2 linked regions of the Coturnix japonica genome follow. The protein of the gene in region 1 purifies or fractionates together with the protein of each later gene. This does not show direct contact. Links are inferred from orthologs where the notes say so. Each region holds a gene or a part of one and is shown on either strand. Other genes may lie near its edges. The genes, in order: CDH8 and CTNNB1.

Region 1 (11,300 bases):
GTCAGAAATTCCATGTCAAAAAAGTACCAAATAACAAGAATGTGATATGCCTTTGTACACATACATACATTTAGAGAGAGAAAAAACAAACAAACAAACAAAAACCCACCAAAAAACAAACAAACAAAAAACAACAACAACAACAAAAGAAATGTCTGTAAGTTAATCATTCATACTTATTGCACTGCAATTCAGACTCTCAGAGCATACTTGTGAATGCCCACAGATTTGTTCTCTGTTTGGGACTTAGCTCCAAAGGGCCCAAACATAAAAAGAAGCAGATTCAGCCTTGACTTACAAAGCAAGGCTTTATCCATTCATTGTTCTCTCAAGCATCCAGCTAAGAAAACCTCAAAACTATGGCAAACAACTGTAAGCTCCTTAGCCTTTAGTCATATAAGTCTCAACCATATAACAACAACAAAGGAAAATCTCATTCATTCAGTATTTAAAATCCAGTCAGTGACAGAAAACAAAGTTCACCTCTCACATCCACAGACCAAAAAGTATGTTCTGAGGGAGAGTCATTTTGCAAATGAGTCTGCTTCACAGAGGCTGTGATCTCTTAGACACTCACACTCCAGTTCAGCAGAGTAAACTTGGCTGCATGTGAACGTAGAAAGAATATTTAAGAATCAATTCAGAGGTTTAATAATTTCCAGAATCTCTCTTGCCATAAGCATTAGTTTGTGGATTTCTTCAGTAAATTCTAAGCTGTATTTCAGAGTGATTTTTCAAAGACATCAAGGGGCTTTTAACATTTCTTACCAATCCTTGTGGTACAATTCATCAGTACAATGGCATCACTACGTAAGCATTAACTTTCATTAAATATGGAGATCAGTGAAGAGTGGTGCCCCTCAGGGTTGAGTACTGTGGCCAGTGCTCTTTAATATCATCATCAATGATATCATCAGGGGGTGAAGTACAAAAAAAAAAACCAACCATGGCCAGTAGGTCAAGGGAGGTGCTCCTGTCCTCTGCTTTGCACTCATGTGACCTCACCTGGAGTACTGTGTCCAGCTGTGTTGTCCTCAGGAGACACATGGATCTGCTGGAGTACATCCAGAGGAAGGCCACAAAAATGATCCAAGGGCTGGAACACCTTTACAAGGGCAGACTGAAAGAGCTAAGGCTATTCAGCATAGAGAAAGCTCTGGGGAAACCTGATAGTGGCCTTTCATTATATAAATGAAGGCTATAAGAAAGAAGGGGATAGACTATTTAGCAGGGACTGTTGTAATAGGACATAGGGAAATGGTTTCAACCTAAAACAGGGGAGTTTTATACTGGTTATAAGGAAAAGATTAGTATGAGGGTAATGAGGCACTGGCAAAGGTTGCCCAGACAGATGATGGATGCACAAGGTCAGGCTGGATGGGGCACCGAGCACCTGATGGAGCTGTAGTGTCCCTGTTTATTGCAGGGGAATTGGACTAGATGACATTTAAAGGTCCCTTCATACTCAAATGATTCTATGATTCTATACAATGAAAGCAATTAGAAACCACTTCACAGAGGCTAGGAGTCTTTCAGTGATTGGAAAGTGAAAGCAGGGAAATGCCACCCTCCAAAATGTATCACTTTGAATAGGTCTCAGAATATGAAGGTAATACTATAAGTGACTCCAAGAGCACAAATATATTTGAATTAGAGCTAGAATGTTCCTGTGAGTAGGAAACATTCTTCTTGTAAATGAAAATAAACTAAATCACTTTTTAGTCTGCTAAGTACTTACATTGAAAAGTCCCAATTAGCTCATGCTTTCATGTTTCTGCTCCTAGTTTTGCTAGACAAGGAAGGTTTAGCTTACCTTCTGAGCACTCAGAAAGATTAAAATCAAGTAGCATGTAAAATTATCTGAATCTGAATCTCTCCATCCTCAAGCTAAGTGAAAATACAGAAGTTATCTCAGTCAACTCAGTCCAATCTTACCCAGAAAGATTCCAATTCAGGACAGTGGTTGAGGGTTGATACAAAAGAATAACTCTGTAATGGTGACAGCAGAAAACTTCAAGGATCTTTCTTCCACTTAAGGCAGAAATAAAGGTGCAGGCAATGTACCAGCAGAAAGTTCCGAAAAAGTGATTTAAGTTGTGGCAAAACTTGGTGTCTATGAAAGTATTGATAAATCAGGATGTATTCCACCGTGTTGGCAATCATGATGAAGAAATATATCACTACTTATGATTGGTAAGCAGCTGTGATGGCAGTGAAATGGCCCAATCATTGCCCATATAAATACAGGTGAGCCCTGAACTGAATCTGGACAGCAGCTTGGTTAGGAAGAGAAAATGTTCCTGTATGAATGATAGCAATATATTTATTTTTATGGAAGAGGTAAGCAGTACATTAATGTTACACTCAGTAAAAGCACAGAGATTGCACAGTTTGCATTTTCATTTTCTGCTTGTATCTGCCTTAAACTGATTTCTGCTATTTTATAACAGAGATCTTGCTTATTACTGTGTTGTAAAAAAACATGAAAATGACCATTTTACCCTGCTTGACAATTGTATGAACATATTTAGTTTCTGCATTAGTAGTATATAATATCATCTCTTAAAGAAGCAGTCATAGCAGGCTATGAAATTCAGCTCTTGTTTTATGTAAATGTCAGATAATCATGTTAGGAATATCAAAACAAAACCAATACAACAATAAAAACCTAATTCAATCAATCCAGTCACAAGAAGGAACTTGAACGTTAAGCACTAGATTGGCATTATTATTTTCATGGTCAGTCTGAAAAGAAGCAATTTTACAACACTGATAGGGGCTGAGGCCCCCACAAAGTTTAATGATAAGGCTGATTTCTTACATAATTCTTAAATACAATCACATTTTTAAAATTTGAAGGAGGAACAGGCAGAATTGATTCTGATCTGGCTTAGAAAAGTGGAATTCTGTTAGCTTTGTTCTGATACACACATATATAAGGCAGGTCAAAGAAGAGAACTGGATTAGTTTCTTGAAAAATTCTTTTCATTTTTTCCTTCTTAGACTCCCAGAAGCAAATAAAATGTAGAATTACTTCACTTTACATCTTTTGATGTCTCAAAAGATTTGAATCACAGACCAATAATTCTCTTGATGCTATTGGTACGTCCTACAATCTGACATTGCTCAAGTCTTGAGAAAATTGGTATGGAGATTTTTCTACCTTTCTCGTTTAAAACCAGCTGAATTATTAAGTGGCTTGATATCAACTTGGCAATTGTTAAACTGCTAGTTGTAAAACACTGGAGCTTTCTTTCTTTATGCTATTAGATTTACTGCCTTGCCTTGGCTTTCCTGCCAGTCTTGTCACAAATTTATCAAGGTAGTGCTTACATTTAATAGTAATTATTGGGGCACTGTTTGTAATATTGCACTAATTAGCAATGAAATGCACAGATTATTAAGGTAGAACACAGTTTACAGAGGTTATAAATGGAGAGCTTCTTTTATATTCAGACATATCTTTCTCATATATGCATGCATTTCAGTTATCCCTCACTGATTCCTAATATGTTTGTATTTAAAAGCAAGTACCAGAGAAAAGTATTGGAAAATTAATCATCCAGTATGGGCCAAGTAACCACCTTTTATTCTGCTATTCATTCACACATGCATAGGTACAGCACTGTGATACTGAGCACCAAAAGTTTTGGATAATAACACTATATACTCAAAAAACTATACTCTGTTTGAAAAGAAAGCATCAAAATCATCTTGTTTTCTATATGCAAGAATTAGCACCAGAGTTCATCAAGCTCTAAAGACAAATTTCTTACAACAATGTGTCAAGTGTGCATGTACTTATGGGAATTATGCATTTATATATATTGATTGCTGAATAGATACTTAAGCAGAAATATTTTCTTATTTATGTTTCAGATAGATGAAAGACCTACTTCCAGAATCTGTTTTTTGCTGCACTATGACTGCCAAAATTATAGTCTAAAATATAGAACTAATATTAATAATAAATTATGTTGGCTCATCAGATCCAGCCAACAGCACAAATTAATCAAGAACTCTTCTTGAATAGAAATCTAGGACCCACATTCTGTGGCAGGGTGACCTGGCTTGGGCATACTCACTAGTCTCAACATTGTGTGTTCTTGTCTATGACTGTGTATGAGTAAATTTATTCATAGGCATCAAAGAGAGCTACTTTCATTCACTATTACCCACGTGCTTAGTCATTCACTGTATTGAAACAAAATATTTTCAGTGTAAAGAATCTCTGGGTTGAGTCTACTCTCTTCTTCCACAGTAGCAAACCTTTATTTCTTCTGTCTTCTAATAACTCACTGTGATGTGTTTTCCTCACTTACCCTATAAAACCTCTACAAATGTCATCATGTATCTCTTCAAACTCTATGTGGTTTTTCATTGAAACAGCAGTTTGGAAGAGTAAAAGAAATGGAACTTCAGCAAAAATTAAGTTTTCTTAAAAAAAAAAAAGAAAAAAAGAATTGCACTTAAAAATTCAGTGTTTCATTTTTTAGTGTTGTATATTGTTCCCACTACACACATTATTAGAAGTAATGGGAATAAAACCAACAGAACTTCAGAATACACAAATACTTACTAGTCTCAGTAGCTACAATGGTTATATTGTGCCACGTATTTGTTTCTCTGTCGAGTGGTGTTGCCAAAGTTATTTTTCCATCTTCTGCATTAATGTTGAACTGTCTCTCAAGGTCAGTATGACGATCAATGGAAAACCTGCAAAACAGACATCCCTGTAATCTACTTAATGAAGTTAATGAATCCATACAATCACAATACATTTTATGGAGCCCCCTGAGATCTGCAGTTTTATAGCCAAATGGATAGAGAAGTTCAAGAGAATAATAATTTATAAGACAATATGACAAACTTAGACTAAAAAAAATTATTAATTATTGCCCAAGGAGTGATTAGCTGTATAGAACCAGTATGCAGGTCATAAAATCCCCTCAGGTTCAATAGGTAACATCTTTGAAATACAGTGTTGATCAAGAGTTAATTACATAATCCATCACATTTATTAGACGGTTTCCATGGCATTTCACAGTAACTCCCGATAATTTCAAGTGTAATGCATTAAGCACACAAAAATGGTGGACTTCATGGTTACTTTTGAAAAGTTTGAATAATATTATTTTAATAATAAACTTCAGATTAATGATGTGAGAACTATTCACCATAGCAATTATTTGGTTACAAATCAAGTGGGTCCATGGGCAGAAATCAGTTAGTAAATCACTGCTCATCTGTAAAACACTTCAAATACTGAAGGAATGATTGTTTTATAGATTGGCATCTCTGATTTTTAAGAAAACAAGTTTGATCTGACAGGTAGTCAGAGTTTGTATGTAAATTCCCAGGTAAATTATGCAGCTGAAAAAGGGCCGAATAATGTTACATTGAGATGTCTTTCCAATGCACTTGGTTAAATACAACTCACTTTCAAAAATTAGTTTGAAGTTATAGTGTAAGTGTTTAAAGATTGTGCTTATTAGCAAGGCTAGCACTACCACACTGGTAAGGTGTGATAGGACTTAAGAATGAAACCCTCATCTAACTAGGAAGTGTGATTTGCAACACACTGAAGTTTTCTGCTTTTAAACTCTCAGAAGAACAAATTTTACTCATAAAATTTAAGTGTTTTATTAAAAAAAAAGTATGATAAAAATATGAAGTCTAATTTGAAGTGTATGTGCCTAAAGCTGGGCACACACAGATTTGGACATTTGAGTAAACTGATTTTCTAGTCAACTTCACATATTCAGTACTCAACAGTTTAATACAAACTGTGCCATTCTCAGCAGTTCTGAAAATGAGGTCACTTCTGTGGAGGAATAAACTGCAGGTGCCTATCCTTAGGCAAACTTACTCGAAGACATATCTTAACCTTACTTTAATGTCTCATTAGGTCCCATTTGAGTATTACAAGTGAAAACTGTGATACTAGTAAAGTTAGTACAAAATATCATACAGAATTATATGTTCAAACTTACAAGTCTAAAATTTCATTCAAGAAAATTAGACAAATACATCATTTGAGATAATTATTTTTAAGTTCTCATTACTTAAACTTAATCTTTTAGTTCTTGCAGTTTATGTAAGGCTGCAGGAATGACTATCACAACAGCTCTGGTACCAAACTTTTATGAAATTCTTCCATTCCATAAATGAAAAAAAACTTGAAGTGTTTATATGAGATTTAGTTGACCTGGGCTTGACGTAAATTCCATTGGGATAAGACACATTTTTTCTCCAAGAATCAATGCCTTTTTAAACTTTCATTTACAGTCTTCCTGCAGTACATTTTCTGAGGTTACAAGAAGTGTGAGCAGAAGATCTGCGAGTTTGTTATATTGCACATCCCAACAGTATTTATTCACATTGTAAAAAACAGCACTCAAATAGAAACTTTTGTAACATCAGTTACTCAGGTTTACGAGACCACAAATGGGTAAAACCCTCTCCTGATTTCAATTTGATAAACATTCTGTACAAAATAAAATAAAATTAAAAATCTGCCAAGTCATAAATGTGGGAAAACTAATAATACATTTGCAGTTTCCTTTCCATGCTTATTGTACTATAACTCTTTTTAATGGAAGTGTATTGTCAGATCCATAAGCTAAACATAAAATGTACATTTCTCTAAAAATGAGAGAATATCCTGGGAAATAATATCTGCTTTCAAATTGCCATAAAACCAGCACAAGTTATTGAGAAGTTTCAGTTAGATTATGGATCCGGTGTGGCAATTATAGGAACAACTCCAAAGTGGTTTAACTTAAAGTGATTCGTAGTCCTTCTGCATTATTAATACTGCTGTTATGACTTAGTTTGGTCTATTCTTTATTTGCACAAATGTAAATAGGAAAAGAAACTATTTTTTGCTGCACATACTGAGATTCAAATCAGAAGTCTGATACCCTATCAGTGTTTAATCACAACTGTTAGTTAATGACAGGCAGACAGGACATGCTACTTAGTGACAGATAAATGGCTGCACCGTTAGGGAGGCAGAAATATTGAATCCATGTTTTTAAGGACTGCTGTGAATTAAGAAAATGATCCACTACTGCCAAAGATGAAATCTCTTCCAATATGAATGGGGAAAACCTGCCACTGTGAAGCTTATCTCTCCACAGAGAAAGACACTGAAAGGCAGTGATTTATAGGAGGGCAGAGACAGTATAGGAAGAAAGATTATTACTCATGCTTTATGCTATGCACTTGGATCAAGCTTTATCCAAGATAATTTACTGCAGATAAAAAGACCATGGTTGTAAAATAACAACAGAAACATGAAATAAGCACTTCTGGAATCAGTAGATCTGTATGCTAATAGATGATAAACTTCCAAGCGTTATTACACAATAAGCCAGAATTTACCACCCTTACTAAACAACAGCAAAGCTCTGCAAGTAGCTCAGCTGAATTCACTGTGTCCCTTTCCCAAGAGAGATGCTGGTAGTTCTATATTTGGTAAGAGGTGATCCTGGAGCACACAACACCACATGCTTCTGAAATGCATATGCTGGAATAAGTCTACTAACCAATTATTAACCACATTTGTACACCTTTTTTTTTTCCTCCAAATCTACTTTAAATATGATGCTTTGGTGTTTGGTTTCATAATGCATTTAGCAGTACTCTGCATAGAAGTAAAATATGGTTTGGTTACAGTCACATCACTGTTTAACCAAACCGTAAGGGCAAACTTGGGAGGGCAAACTTTATCATGGAAATGAGACACTGGTTTGATGAAACTGGAATAATATATTTTGTTCAAGTTAGGTCAAAAAAGGGAAATACCACAAACTGAAGATGTAAAAGTCATATGATTTCTGATTTCCTCTAACAAAACCAGAGAAGAGTTTAGTCGAATGAATACTGGATATGGTTTTACAGTCTTACATCTGCAAGGAAAAAACTCAGTATTGTTAGCGTAGAAACTAGGAGGTTATTTAAAATAAACACATTGAAAATCCGACCTATCAGACCTCTTACCTCTTATTTCTTAATTACATTGCATTCCTACTGTTTGATAAAGTTATTTGTGAAGAAAGAAGTATTTTAGTGATTTTGAAAATGATACAAACTGATAAGTCTAACTTCATGAGGCGATAAAATCCTATACAAGTATTTTATAGAACAAAAACAGAGGGAGAACAGCGTCATAAATACAGTGTATAGAAAAATATACTTAATATTCTGCCGGCAGTTTTTTCTGTGAGAACTTTAGAGCAGCACTACCTTATAGGACTGGAAGACACATCAGGGTCATGGGCTGTCACTTGGCCAATCACAGAGTTAATAGCAGCATTTTCATGCACTTCCAGTAGGTATGTAGGTGATGAAAAGACTGGTGGCTCATCAGCATCCTCTACTACAATTTTTACTGTTGCTGTATCCTTGAAAGGTCCTCCACTGATGAAGCGAGGATCAATATGAATGTTGGCTGCTTCTACCTTCAGAGTATAGGATTTTTTGGTCTCAAAGTCCAGAGGCTGTTAAGAATGACAAAGATAAATGTCTTTTACTAATGGCCACAGAGAAAGAGCAAATTAATATAATGCTGATGGATGAAAGTTATGTGCATTTAAGCACATTCAGTGAGTTTGTATGCAAGCACTTCCCACTCCCAGAAATTCAACCTGCAAATTTTCTTGGCATATATTGATATATGTTTATTAACCAGCCTCAAAGGAAACAAGAGACTGTTTTCTTGCTTTTCACAATAAATTTACCACAATACTCTCTTTCATGAATGATACAACTACAATTACATTCCAGATAAATAGAGCAAATTTGTTGGTGGTGATGTGACTTGCATAATAATTGTGCCTTTAATCAGTGCTTTGTTAGTTGGAGATAAGAAAATAGGGTATACAGGATATAATCTCAGTGAGGAATAAATATTTAATTATTTCCAGAACTACACGAGAAATGCAAATATCTAGCAGTTATTTGTTGGACATGATGAAATTATGCATCAAATGGAAAAGCTAATCATATAAGAATGTATTTCAGTATTATTGCACTTCAGATAACTCCACATTTCTGTTTACAGGGGTAAATGAGGCAGACATCTCTCAGGAATTTCTTCCAACTGTAGCAATTCCTATTTCTTTATCTTACATTTTTTTCAAAGGCAGAAACATAGAACTGATTACTTTGTTCTACCAATATACCTGCCATGTCACCACTGTTTTTACTATTTTACAGCTACATATTAAAACACAGAGGATGAAAACACAGTGGATTTAAAGAAACGAGATACCAAATAAAAACCAAATCTGCAACAGTCCTGAATTATAGAAGTTTTCATTATAGGAGATTCAAGTTGGTATCTTGAAGCACACCAGTATATTCAGTATATAATTCTCTTGTGCCTCACAATGATTCAAGTTTCAAAGATGCAAATTGCCAAGCACTGGAAAGATATTAAGATTTGCATTACAATGTCCCAGGGATAGAAAGAAAAAGACATAGAAACTCTGAATCTGCAATGCAAATATCAGCAAGAACACAAATAGGAATAGCAAATCTCTTTCTGTCGAAGCATTAAATATGTGTACTTTTGAATTTTGTTGATTTTTATTTTATTTTTTTCCAGGTATGAATCAAGGTCTAATGGGATTTGCTTTTTCTCAGAACCTCTAGTAAACATGAGAAAACCATGCTTCTTCAGTAGGTCTTAAATTAGCAAGCTTTAATACTTATGAATTGTGATTTATAAATCAGCATATTCACAATTTGCCAATCATAGCTCTTGTATCATTTCTTTAATTGCATTTCACGTGCGCCTAAATGCATGTAGCCATTCTTAATCAGGCTATCATATTGAAAATTTAGTCTGAATTGTCTAAAACCCACAAATTTGTGCTGGAGAAATTCTATTGGTGAATAGTACCCTACATATATCACCTGCTGCAGTAGAACCAAAATGATAATTGCTGTCAAAACGAATATATGAAACAACATTATCTGAGAGACTCTGCATAAAATAAAGTCTGGGGAACTGGAGCAAAAGGTTAATTGCTTTAGTTTACAAAGGAGGCCACAACATACAATAAATCACAATAAGGAAGATCAGGGATGTATATCATGATTTACTCTTTTGAAAATAGATCTAAATTTAGATAGATATACACCATTTTATTATTCTTGTAGGGTGCTAACCTCCTCACTGAGAAACAGAAAACATAAAATTCTGACAGCTCTTCTGTCTGACCTCTTTAATCACAGATAAAACTTTAATATTCATTAGTGGTACTCATTGGATTCCTCTTTTTTTTTTTTTTTTTTTTCATTGGAATGTCATGTTTTCTTTTTCACTTGTTTTTATTTATTTAAAACAAGGAATCATTTACAGTCCTTTACACTACATGTTTTAAACCCTCCATACCAGCATTATGAGTTATACTCAAATCGTTCCTTAGAACACAGCATGAGTAACTGCCCTCCTCTCCAACACCAGAAAATAAGAAAAATCAATCCTGCAATTACTGTATCATTGACTTTACTGGCCACACTGTGTTCTAGATTTGCTGCATCCCACAGTATTTATGTATACAATTGCATGCCCCTTTGGTTCTGTACACATAAATACCACATCTCAAGTACATCAAGACTGTGTAAGCACAGAAAAAAAAGACAGAGATGTAGTTTTTCCTTGGGCCGAAATTTGACAGTTCTCATTTTAAACTTGATAAAGTTCACTGAAATCACTATTCCTTGAGCAAATAGAGTTCAACAAGATAAAAGTTGGAAGACTGAGCCTATTATACATCAGGCAATTTAAATAATTAGGTACAATACTTTTTTTTTTTCCCTCTAAGCAGTATTTGACCAGCAATACAGGAAGTGAAATGAGTGAGAGAAGCATTTGATGAGTACTCATCAAATTTTAGGATTTTAGGAAAATCTACATCGCCAACAAAGCAAATTCTGATCTACTCTTCCCTTTAAGAATCCAGGAAGAAAAACAGTATCATTAAAGCACATGAAGCAGTGTCTGGACTCAGGAAGCCTGAAGCAGATTAAGTCATGCCCAGAACAAAAAATGCTGCCATGGAAATCTTCCCAACTGCCACCTATATGGCAGCTCTGATGGACATTGCTTATACAGCTGTACTTTTATCAGTGTGGTTTGACATCTCATTCATACATAAAAGAATGCTTGGAAATCCAGCATGTTCACACAGTCTTAGAATAAGGTTTTATATAAGAGATCCAGTTTACCTTTCTCACTCTAATAACGCCGTCCTGAGTTTGGGCATCTGTAGTGATTTCAAATATAT
Region 2 (9,951 bases), on another chromosome or scaffold:
ATTTATACTTAGGTAATGAGGTCACTGTTCTTTTTTTTTTTCCCCAACACGCGGGATAGATGTTAGTGTACTGCAGACAGATCCCTATTCCTGCTAACAACAGGATGTTCTGATTACAGCTGTAGCCTTTGAGAATCACTGCTGATAAATGGTGGGGGTGGCAGCTCTAAGTACAGCTTCTCAGGTAATTTAAGAGGGAGACTCAAAGACGTGTTGCTTGATCAATGGTAAATAGGACCAGCCATGGCATGCTAAGGCTTAAAAGTCCTTGCCAGATTTTGGGATTAGAATTTGCTGTTTCAGGCATTAACTCCTTCAGTATCAAAATAATCAGCTGCTCTGATCCTCTCCTTTTCCTTTCTGTTTGGCCCATGTTTACTTACCTTTGCAAGCAGGAACTGATGATGTTCTTGATACTGAAGGACATACAGGCTGGCTCATTCATAGCGTGCTCTGTAGGAGACAGCTCTATGCAGGCAATATTCATAATGAACGGTGAGCGGCAAGAAACAACTGAAATACAGCTGTTACCACTGCAGTGACTTTCAACCAGAGAAAATCCTACGTGTCCTGATGTTAAGACTGGTACAGGCTTGGCTGGTTTTTCCTCGGGTCCCCCTGGAATTCAGAATCAATGAGGTTTGTATTTGCAGTGGTCCTAAGAATGAAATCAGGGTCGGCAGACTGTGATGTGTGAACTCACACATATACAGGCGCTCAGAAAAAGAGCGGATTTTGTTAATTAAGCTGAGACATTTTGGACAGCCTGCGCCTAAACTTCAGCCTTGTTTGCTAAAAGGGACTTTTCTCTTGAGTCTCTTTAATGTCACATTCCATTTACAAGGGTAACAAATGCTGTAACTTGTTTCCTCCTTCCCTATCCCGCAGAAAATGACAGAGAGGAATTTCTTTCTCTGCCTTTGATAAGCCCTCTTTCTTTTCGTTCCAGATAACTTCAAACGAGAAGCACTCGGAGAGCCTGAAGAGTGATGGCGATGCTCTGCTCTGCACTCTGCAGAGCCTGGCCCAGCCCACCAGGTGCGTCCCCTCAGGCTTCGGGGGCTTTCAGGATGGGAGCTCTGCCTCCCGTCTGCCATGACTTCTCCCGGCATCGCCTCCTGCAGTAGAGGCCCCTCAGGTTTCCACCCTTGGCCCCTTCCATCAGGGCTCTGTGGCGGATCTGTGGCCCGCTTTGATCCCAGCTGTGGCTGCCCACAGTCAGCTGCACCGCCAGCCCGTGCTGGTGCACATCTGTCATGTTAAACTGGGTGGTTGTTGTGTTTTTTTTTTACTTTATTTCATTTCAAACAATCAGTCTCTTTTATAACCGGATACCGGTCCATGTTTCTTGGCACAGTGGGCGAGATGCACAATGTGGTAGTTGTGCCCTGTTTTAAAGTAACCAAACTGTGCGGTATGCTTGCAAGCTGATTTTTTTATTATTATTATTTTTTCTTCTAAATATGCAGCTAAAGAACAGAGATGCTTTTGTTTGCAAATACCTGTGGCTTCCCAGCAAAGGCACAAGGCTGCGGGCACTGCCAGGGCTTCCTCTGCAGGAACAGAGGTGCTGGTCCCAGCAGCTTGGGCAGGCCTCAGCTGCTCTCTGTTGGACTTTCCCTCACCTAATCCCCCCCTTGGGTATACAAAGGAATGAATTGCTGTTCTCTGCTGTTAGGCTGCATTTTGCTCCTGGTCAAAATAAGTCAGAGATTGTATTTTATAGAAACAGTCGGTCTGCGCAGTTCTCTTTGTGCTCCCAAACACAGACTGTGTGGGTTGCTGGGCTGACTCCTTGATGTCACCTTGCGCTGGGAGCAGGGACGTGAGTAGAGAGGAAATGATTGTGAAGTGGTGAGTGTGAGTTGCTGTGTGCTGGGACACACCAAGCCCATCCTGAACAGCCTGAGTCTCCCTCAGATGCTGACTCACGTTTTTTGTATGATATTGTAAATTATCCAACTAACATAAAAGGACAGCTCTCCCTAAGGGAGACACTGGCACTGCCACTGAAGATGACAGCGGTGTAACAGTGGGGAAGGAAGTTTTTTTTCTTGTTTTAGAACACGTTTTCCATCTCTTTCGTTGCATTTCAGCGCTAGATGCACTGCACAGCCCATCCACCAGCTGGCTCTGAGTCTGCCTCTCTGACTTCCTCTAATTGTTATCTATCTATCTGCACGTTTCTGTACTCAGAAAACCACATGCTATGGAGTCCAAAATAAGCAGCAGTCTCTCTTGTTTGACACAAGATGCTCAGGAGACCAAATTGTAGTGTTCTGGTATTATTAGGACAGATCAGGTTCCTCTGCCTGTAGCAGTGGCAGGAAGGCTCCCAGGAGCTCACGGATTTCTTTTTCCCTCCTGCCATTCTTTGAGGGGTGCACATCCTTGTCTATTCACCTGCTGAGGAGCCTGGGAGGGATCCAGCCTGCATCTTGGGGGGCTGTGATAGACTCCAGCAGCAACAAATGGCCTACAGAATAGACAGGAAAAGGTTGGCATGCTCAATCAACATTAGCCAACTGGCCATTTTGTATATGGACATTATGGATGCTAAGCCATGCCCTCAAACTCCCGCTCATGTGCCATCTTCCCTAGAGTATCCCCTGTCACCTACTCACTTCAGCCTGCTCTTCCCACCTGTGCTTTGAACCCTGGTAAGAAGCCTTTCTGAACTTCTTGCTGAGTTGGAAACACGAGCAGTCTGAACTCCCAGGCCCTGCCACCCACATACCATCACTAGGGCAGAGTGGGTGAGGCGTGTTTTTGCTTCGCTTGTTTTTCACAGACCGGTTTCTCCTCTTTCAGCGCAACGGAAGGAATACAACAAGCAAGCAGTGCCATTACAGGGCAGAGGCACAGCTGGGCAGCAAGCTGCTCTCGGTGCTCTCCCACCACCTTGTAGCAGCTGCCTCTTGCCAAACTCTCTGTTACGTATTCTTGGCTAGTCGGAACAGGCAGCCTTGGGGTTGGTATGTAACCAGCCCATCATGCTTAGTAGTGAGGTGGAATTCAACCTGAACTTTAAATGTGGGATCTTAGCAGTGCATTTCTCAGTTGCCAACATGTTTGTTTCAACTGAGTGTTCTGGTAAGAAACTGGTTTATGCTGTGTACCGATCACCAGGGTTTCATGGGCACGTATTGTGTTCCCCAGAAGATGAGGTGTCAGCGGGTGTTTGCCATTAGCAGCAACAAGGGAAGCTGCGAGCTGCCCTACTGCTGTTACTTCCTGAGTTAATCATGAAGGATGGCAGCCTGTTAAAAAAAACTGCTTGTTTCTGTATGGGAGAAAGCAGAAGCGGAGTCATTTTCCTGTCAAGCTGTGCGTAGGATCCATGGGGACAGGATAGATTTTATCTTTCTTCTCGTTCACGGAGGAGATTGAGCAAGGCAGCAGTTACTGCGAATTTAAACTGGAACTCATTTTTACACAAGACGTGCTGCAGGACAGAACCACTAGTTGTGTGTTCCTCCTGCTCAACAGGAAAATGGGGTTCAAGTTACTCAATGGGCGATGCTGAGAATTTCCCAGCATAGATAATGGCAAGTGTGGGATTTGAACAAGTTTTTCCCTTGCGAATACGTAAGAGCTTTCTGTCACTCTCTTTAATTCCAGCTGTCATGCTGATGTTGCTGTTGCATCCCTGGCATCTGAAATTCTGAGAACAGTAGCACGTGAAAATCCAAAGCCAACCAAGTGAACTGCGTCTGATCAGCCCACTGAAATACACAGCTGTGTGTGATGCTCAGAGCTGTCCTGAATCAACATCTTCACACAAGCAGAGCAGACCTAACTCACTCCGCCAGTGTCTGAGCACAGGCACAGCTTTGGCTTCTCCAGAAGGAACAGCCTTTTTTCAAGCTCTTTCTGGGTGAATTCTTGATTACTATTTTCACCTTGCTGGCATTGTGTGATGTAGCACAAGTACCTGATAGCCAGTGTGAGAAGTGTAAATAAAATAAACAGCTTAGTTGTTTCACTACTTTAAGGCGTCAGAAATGCTTGTGTATGTCTTGCTGATCAGCTGAAGGGCCTGGCTGGTCATTTTAAGGGGTTGTCTTACGCTTGGTGATGTGCATTAGACTATACCTCTTTACTAAAAATACTTTGCTGTGTGTGTGTGTGTACATGCCATGTCCATATGATAAAATCCAGCAGTAGTCCTCCAGAACTGGTAGATGCCATAGTGCATAAGAAATGAAATCCCCTTCATTGCCATATCCCTGGATGTTACTCAATGAGACATCAGCATAGCTGCAGTTTGTCTACTCCATAAGCAAAGGAGAGCACCCTTTTGTAGCTTGCTTCAGCTCTCATCTCCTTGGGATGCTACCAGGAGCTGTGATCCTTTATAGCTTTTTCCCCTTGTGATCTCATCTGCTCTGAGAGGCAGGATGAGCACTCTGGGCAGAGGCTGGTGACAGCTGCAGAGTGCAGATGTGCACAGTCTATAAATTATCCAGCAGTTGTTAACAGCATTACCTACTTCTATCTGCACAAGTGCTGTCTCTAGAGAAGGTGAGCTGCATGCAGGTCCTATCTCAGGCTGAGTTAAAGCTAGTGGAGCAGCTGAGCACTTATAAGTGAAGGACCTTCTCCTGCATGCTACACTAAGCATAGCTGCCTTGCTGAGGAACCTGAAAGGGGAAAAATACTGTGGGAGGAAGCCTCCATGATTCTAACCGTGATCTCCAAAGGACAGAGCAGCCGCCAGGTGGGATGGAGAAGGGGAGCAGTTCTTGGTTTCTGCCTTTGAAGTAGTGAAAGCATTGCACAATTTGAGAACAGGTTTTGGAGGACCTGTCAACACAGTCTGAAATAACTTGACACAGAGCGAATTAAAAGTTTACTTTAATCTTGAACCATTTTATAACTGCATTTTTTCTCATGAAGCATCTGTATCACAGCAGGCTACAATAACTTTGGGATAAAAGGCAACTGGTAAACTGTCCAATACAAGGTTCCAAATAAACAGTTCTTACTGGCCCCTACCCAGACATATCCCAGATAAAGTTTTTTGATCAAAAACATGAAATAGATCCACCTGCTTATTTTAAGCATATTAAAAAGGAAACTAATTGGACCATTTCTATTTGTCTAGTTTGTTTTTTTTATACAAAAAGGCTACACAATGTTACACTTTATTCAGAATACAGTTAGAGCGATTATGAATTAGTGTTCTACACCTTTACTCAATCCTTAAAAATTAGAAACTGCTGTAGCATATTCACTATAACTTAATACTACGAGAGACTTAAAAAAAAAAAACCTAACGACAATTACTGCGAAAAGAAAGGCTACTTTCAAAGCAAGCAAAGGTCAGTACCATTACAGAGATTTAAAAAAAATAATAAATTTTTAACAAGCAAGGCTAGGGTTTGATAAATTCCATCTTGCAATTCATTCTTGTGCATTCCTCGTTTCTTGAATCACTCCCAAAATCCATTTGTATTATTACTCCTCGACCAAAAAGGACCAGAACAAAAAGTTTACTTCAATTGTTCCCATAGGAAACTCAGCTTGGTTAGTGTGTCAGGCACTTTCTGAGATACTAGCCCACCCCTCGAGCCCTCTCAGCAACTCTACAGGCCAATCAATGCAAGTTCATTCAGATGATACAGCTGCAAAAAAGGAAAACAGAAAAATAATGTCAGTGTTCCTCAGTAAAAGTTACTTCAACATAAAGACTGCACAAAGCTGGTGATGCACAAGACGTTACAGTTAATTACTTCCATACCTCACGGCAGAAAATCATACACTCCTACAATCCAAACTGATGCGTGTCTCCAGAGCATTTTTTCCCCTCCCCCTCAGTATTCTGTCACACTGGGACCCATTTAAGCCATTCCCTCCCTGCCAACCAAGTCCTGAGTCCAGTAATTTGTTTCTCTCTTTTTGTTTTGTTTTTAAATTCACAATTGGAGCTTCTTACCTAAAGGATGATTTACAGGTCAGTATCGAACCAGGCCAACTGATTACTGTCACCTGGAGGCAGCCCATCCATAAGGTCCTGGGCATGGCCAAGATCTGGCAGACCATCAACTGGGTAGTCAGCACCAGGGTGGTGGCCACCCATTTCATGTTCCATCATAGGGTCCATACCCAAGGCATCCTGACCGTATCCGCCAGAGTGGAAAGAACGGTAGCTAGGATCTAAGAAAGTTAAAAGGTGGCAGAGGGAAAAAGAGCATAATGTTAACAGATGTTAGATGCATCAGAAGCTGCAAGTATCAGTGTGTGAGAAGATTGTTGTAGCCATCTAATTGTTTTTCTAGTTCAGCCAAGTTCCAAATGATCTGCTGCCTGCCCTTAATGGCTATTCCATCATTTGAAACAGCCTTCCAGTGTGATTCTGCAGACAAAGCAACTGCAGTCAGAAGCACGAGCAGATTCCAGCCAAGCCATTAGTCTGCACAATCAACAGTACTAAAATTCAACAATACTACAGCAAAACCAGGCTACAAGGCTGCAGACTCAGAACCCATAGCAATAGACTTAAGTCTACTGGCACTTAAAGACTAATATATATACCATACCAACATTTGTTTTAAAGAAAAACTGCACTTCTGGAATTGTCAAGTCCATCTGTAAAGGATTTAAAAGATTTCTGGAAACAGCAGCTCAGTGGGAGATTCTCTTGCAAGACTCAGACAAGCGACACCAATTTTGCACATTCATATGGCTCCCATTTCAGTGCAGCCAGAGGTGTTGCAGAAACTGCTTATTTGAACTGGCAGTTCCCCATCTGCCTGTCAGTTTGCAATATCTTGCTGAGGAGTAATTTACTCTTCAGCCATTTGCAGTTCTCCTTTACAGTCAATGACTTGACTTATATTAAGCTTAGTCAAGGGGAATGGAACAGACATACCATCTGGGCGGTATCCAAGAGGTTCTCCCTGGGCACCAATGTCAAGTCCAAGATCCGCTGTCTAGATGTGCACAAAAAGATACAGAACAGTTTTCACATCAGGTCTTAGGGCCAACATTAATAATTGAATTTAAGAAATTCTAAAGCTTGCCATAAATCCTTTTTCTTTTTAACCAACTCTTCTGCACTGTATTTCAAAAAGATACACCATTTTTGCTATGTTTTCTCATGTTAACATGTTAGATGGATACAGACTTCAGGAAATCAGAGGTGAACACTGAAATACTACAAACCAAAGGCTACTACATATTATTAAGGTAAGACTGTTAAGTAAGTATATGGGGAAAGACAGATTTAGTGAAACATTCCCCAATGGCAGTTTTCAGTCTCAATTCACTGTGCTGGCCTTTAAGCATGAAAAAATTTCATGTAATAGCTTGCAAATACTTCCAAGTCTGAGAGCTCAATTCTCAATTAATGAGAACATAAAAGTGGCATACCCACACCAAGCTTCTTAGTCCTACAGAGTTTGCTAAATAAGAGTCCTTAGAGGAGTGTTATGGTTATGCTTGTATCCTATCATCAGTTCATCAGGTTTGGACAACCTGCAAGAACTGGTTGAAATTCCTAAAGATTACTGCTGAGCTGTCCTTTCAAATGAGAAGCAGCACAGAGACCTACAGAGTTCTTACACACAGAGCAAAATGAGACTTAAACTTTAGACTCTTTGTATCTGAAAAGAAAGCACTAAAGCAGCAGCTCTAAGGCTACTCGCTCATTATTCTACTTGAGCAAGTCTGTAGTTCTAGAGAGGTTTCTTGCCCTATGTAATGAATTCCCAAAACTGTCAGTTTCACCTGTTTAGATATAAACTTCTGCCCTAGGACAAGAGTATACATTTGAAGCTTGCACCATTTTCTACAAACCTACAAGCTGAACATGAACATGTAAAGAGTAAGGAAGCTACAGACATGTGTAAAACTGAATCCATATCACTGATGGCATCTACACTTCACTACTGGAAGGAAGAGGGACTTGAAAGTAAAGTCTCCCCAAGTTACCATTCACACAAGGACACAACTCACCTCGTTCCAAGCCATTGGCTCAGTCCGGAACAGAGAGCTTGTCAGTTCAACTGAAAGTCGCTTCTTGTAGTCTTGTGGTTTGTCCTCAGACATTCTGAACAGCACTGCAGCTGCATATGTTGCTATTAAAAAAGTAAAGTGAATTTAGTCAACATCAATTCTTTTGATGTTTGATACTTTTCCAGTAAGTATGAAACTTAATTTTAAGTTCACTTACCAACACCCTCATTCCTAGAATGGAGTAGTTCTGTTAAAGGGGCAGTTGCACCTTCAGCTTCAATTGCTTCAGCTGCTTCCTTGTCTTGAGCAAGTTCACAAAGTACACCCGCAGCTACTCTCTGGATATTCTCAATGGGGGAGTACAACAACTGCAATCATAACAAGGGTTTCTTTTAACTCTTCTGCTTGAAAAGAACTTTAGTACAATGCAAATTAACAGTTCTACCAACAAGGCATTGGGGAAGTTATACTAGTATGTACTACAGCATTTTCTTGAGCTCCAGCTTACCTGCACAAATAGTGGAATGGTATTTAGACCCCTGATAACAATTCGATTGTGAACATCACGTGCAAGAATATGCAGAGCTCCAGTGCAGCCCTCTACGATTTCCTCCATGCGCACACCCTCCTACAGTCAGGGAAAGAAAAGGCACTTCAGCTGAAATATTGAACATTATCTCCTAAAACAACTGTCAAAGAGCTGATCATTATCAAAGAATCGGTCAGTCTCCTGCGCACACATCCCTCCCCCAGTTGCCTCAATACCCACTGCCTATTGCTGGCCTTCAAACTAAACCGTCCCTGCTAAGTCCTGGCCTAGTTTATCCAGATAAATTCTGGAAGTGAATCACCTCAGTGGAACATCTCCCTGTGCTCTCTTTTTTTTTTTCCAGTTCATTATAAACTTAACATCTGACAACACTGTTGTTTTTTCCCCAAGCTGAATTAGCTTGGCTGTTTACTAAGTTCAAAAGTGCTAATCAGTGATGAAGAGGCTCTGACTGGCTTGCCTTTGCAAGTATTAACTACAGTCCTGTACTGGTAGGTATTGCTTCCATTTGCCTATGCTAATGTAACTTCCCCTTCGTCAGCACGTTTAACAGGTGGAGGGAAAAATCAAGACTGATTCTGCCACACTAACCAGGTATGTTAATTATGGAGCCTGGACAATTTCTCTGTACTCATACAGCTGTAAGCATGAAAAAATACACATTAAGCTGTGACAACATTCCAAAACCCATAGTTCCAACAAGGATGGAACTTCCTCATAAAGAACTACTCATTGCCAGGGTAGGTGAAACCAGTACTTCTACTAACTGTAGCATTCAGAAACATTTTAGATCTGCCAAGGCAGAATGATTAGCATAATCAGCATACTACCAGATTGTGCAGACTAATATAAACCAGAGCAAATGTTAAAACAATAGCTATTTAGGTAATTGTAGCTCCTAGTGGCCACTTACCACAAACTGCTGTTGCGTTCCACCCATGGAAGTACGTCGCTGGGTATCTTGATGTGCTCTAACCAGCAGCTGAACTAGCCGTGGGATGGCACCTTGTTCACGCAGTGGGGCATGGTTTGCAGGGCAGAGCGCAAGATTGCGAATCAATCCAACAGTAGCCTGCAGTTCAGAAAGGAGGTGAGGAATAAGAGAGCATAAGGGGTGTGTTTGCTATTTAGCACTGTGTATGTTTGTTATTAAATCAGTCAGTCCCAAACAGTTGGATCTCTGTAAGAAACAACTTGAAAGTTGCTCATTTGAAGTAGCCTCTCCATCAAGAGAGTTACATTCTCCAATGCCTTGGAAACACAGTATTTTCCTCAGGTAATATTATATTTAAAAAGCACTGGTTTTCAGCACTGACAGACATCAGCCATAATTTACCTTAATCAAAGGCCAGTGTGAGGGTGGGTGCAACAGTTTAACCACCACTGGGAGTCCATAATGGAGACGTACTGCATTTTGAGCCATTTCAGCTTCCTGATGTCTG

Evidence for each region.
Region 2: the proteins of CDH8 (region 1) and CTNNB1 purify together in Homo sapiens (co-immunoprecipitation; 3 studies listed by BioGRID and IntAct, counting the BioPlex papers as one, with this or other methods). This does not show direct contact. The link is inferred for Coturnix japonica from reciprocal best matches to the Homo sapiens genes CDH8 and CTNNB1.

Annotation. Positions count from the first base shown.
Region 1 is NC_029526.1:11,335,328-11,346,627, reverse strand, and holds part of CDH8 (cadherin-8), read right to left. Parts: coding exon 11,242-11,300; intron 8,505-11,241; coding exon 8,251-8,504; intron 4,717-8,250; coding exon 4,580-4,716; intron 1-4,579. UniProt on the Homo sapiens protein: Cadherins are calcium-dependent cell adhesion proteins. They preferentially interact with themselves in a homophilic manner in connecting cells; cadherins may thus contribute to the sorting of heterogeneous cell types.
Region 2 is NC_029517.1:39,926,215-39,936,165, reverse strand, and holds the end of CTNNB1 (catenin beta-1), read right to left. Parts: coding exon 9,846-9,951; intron 9,582-9,845; coding exon 9,423-9,581; intron 8,588-9,422; coding exon 8,468-8,587; intron 8,328-8,467; coding exon 8,177-8,327; intron 8,082-8,176; coding exon 7,960-8,081; intron 6,936-7,959; coding exon 6,875-6,935; intron 6,160-6,874; coding exon 5,951-6,159; 3' UTR 5,939-5,950; intron 5,628-5,938; coding exon of another isoform or gene 5,611-5,627; 3' UTR 4,840-5,610; downstream 1-4,839. Other genes in the region: serine/threonine-protein kinase ULK4, read left to right, coding at 950-1,038, 3,622-3,706. UniProt on the Homo sapiens protein: Key downstream component of the canonical Wnt signaling pathway.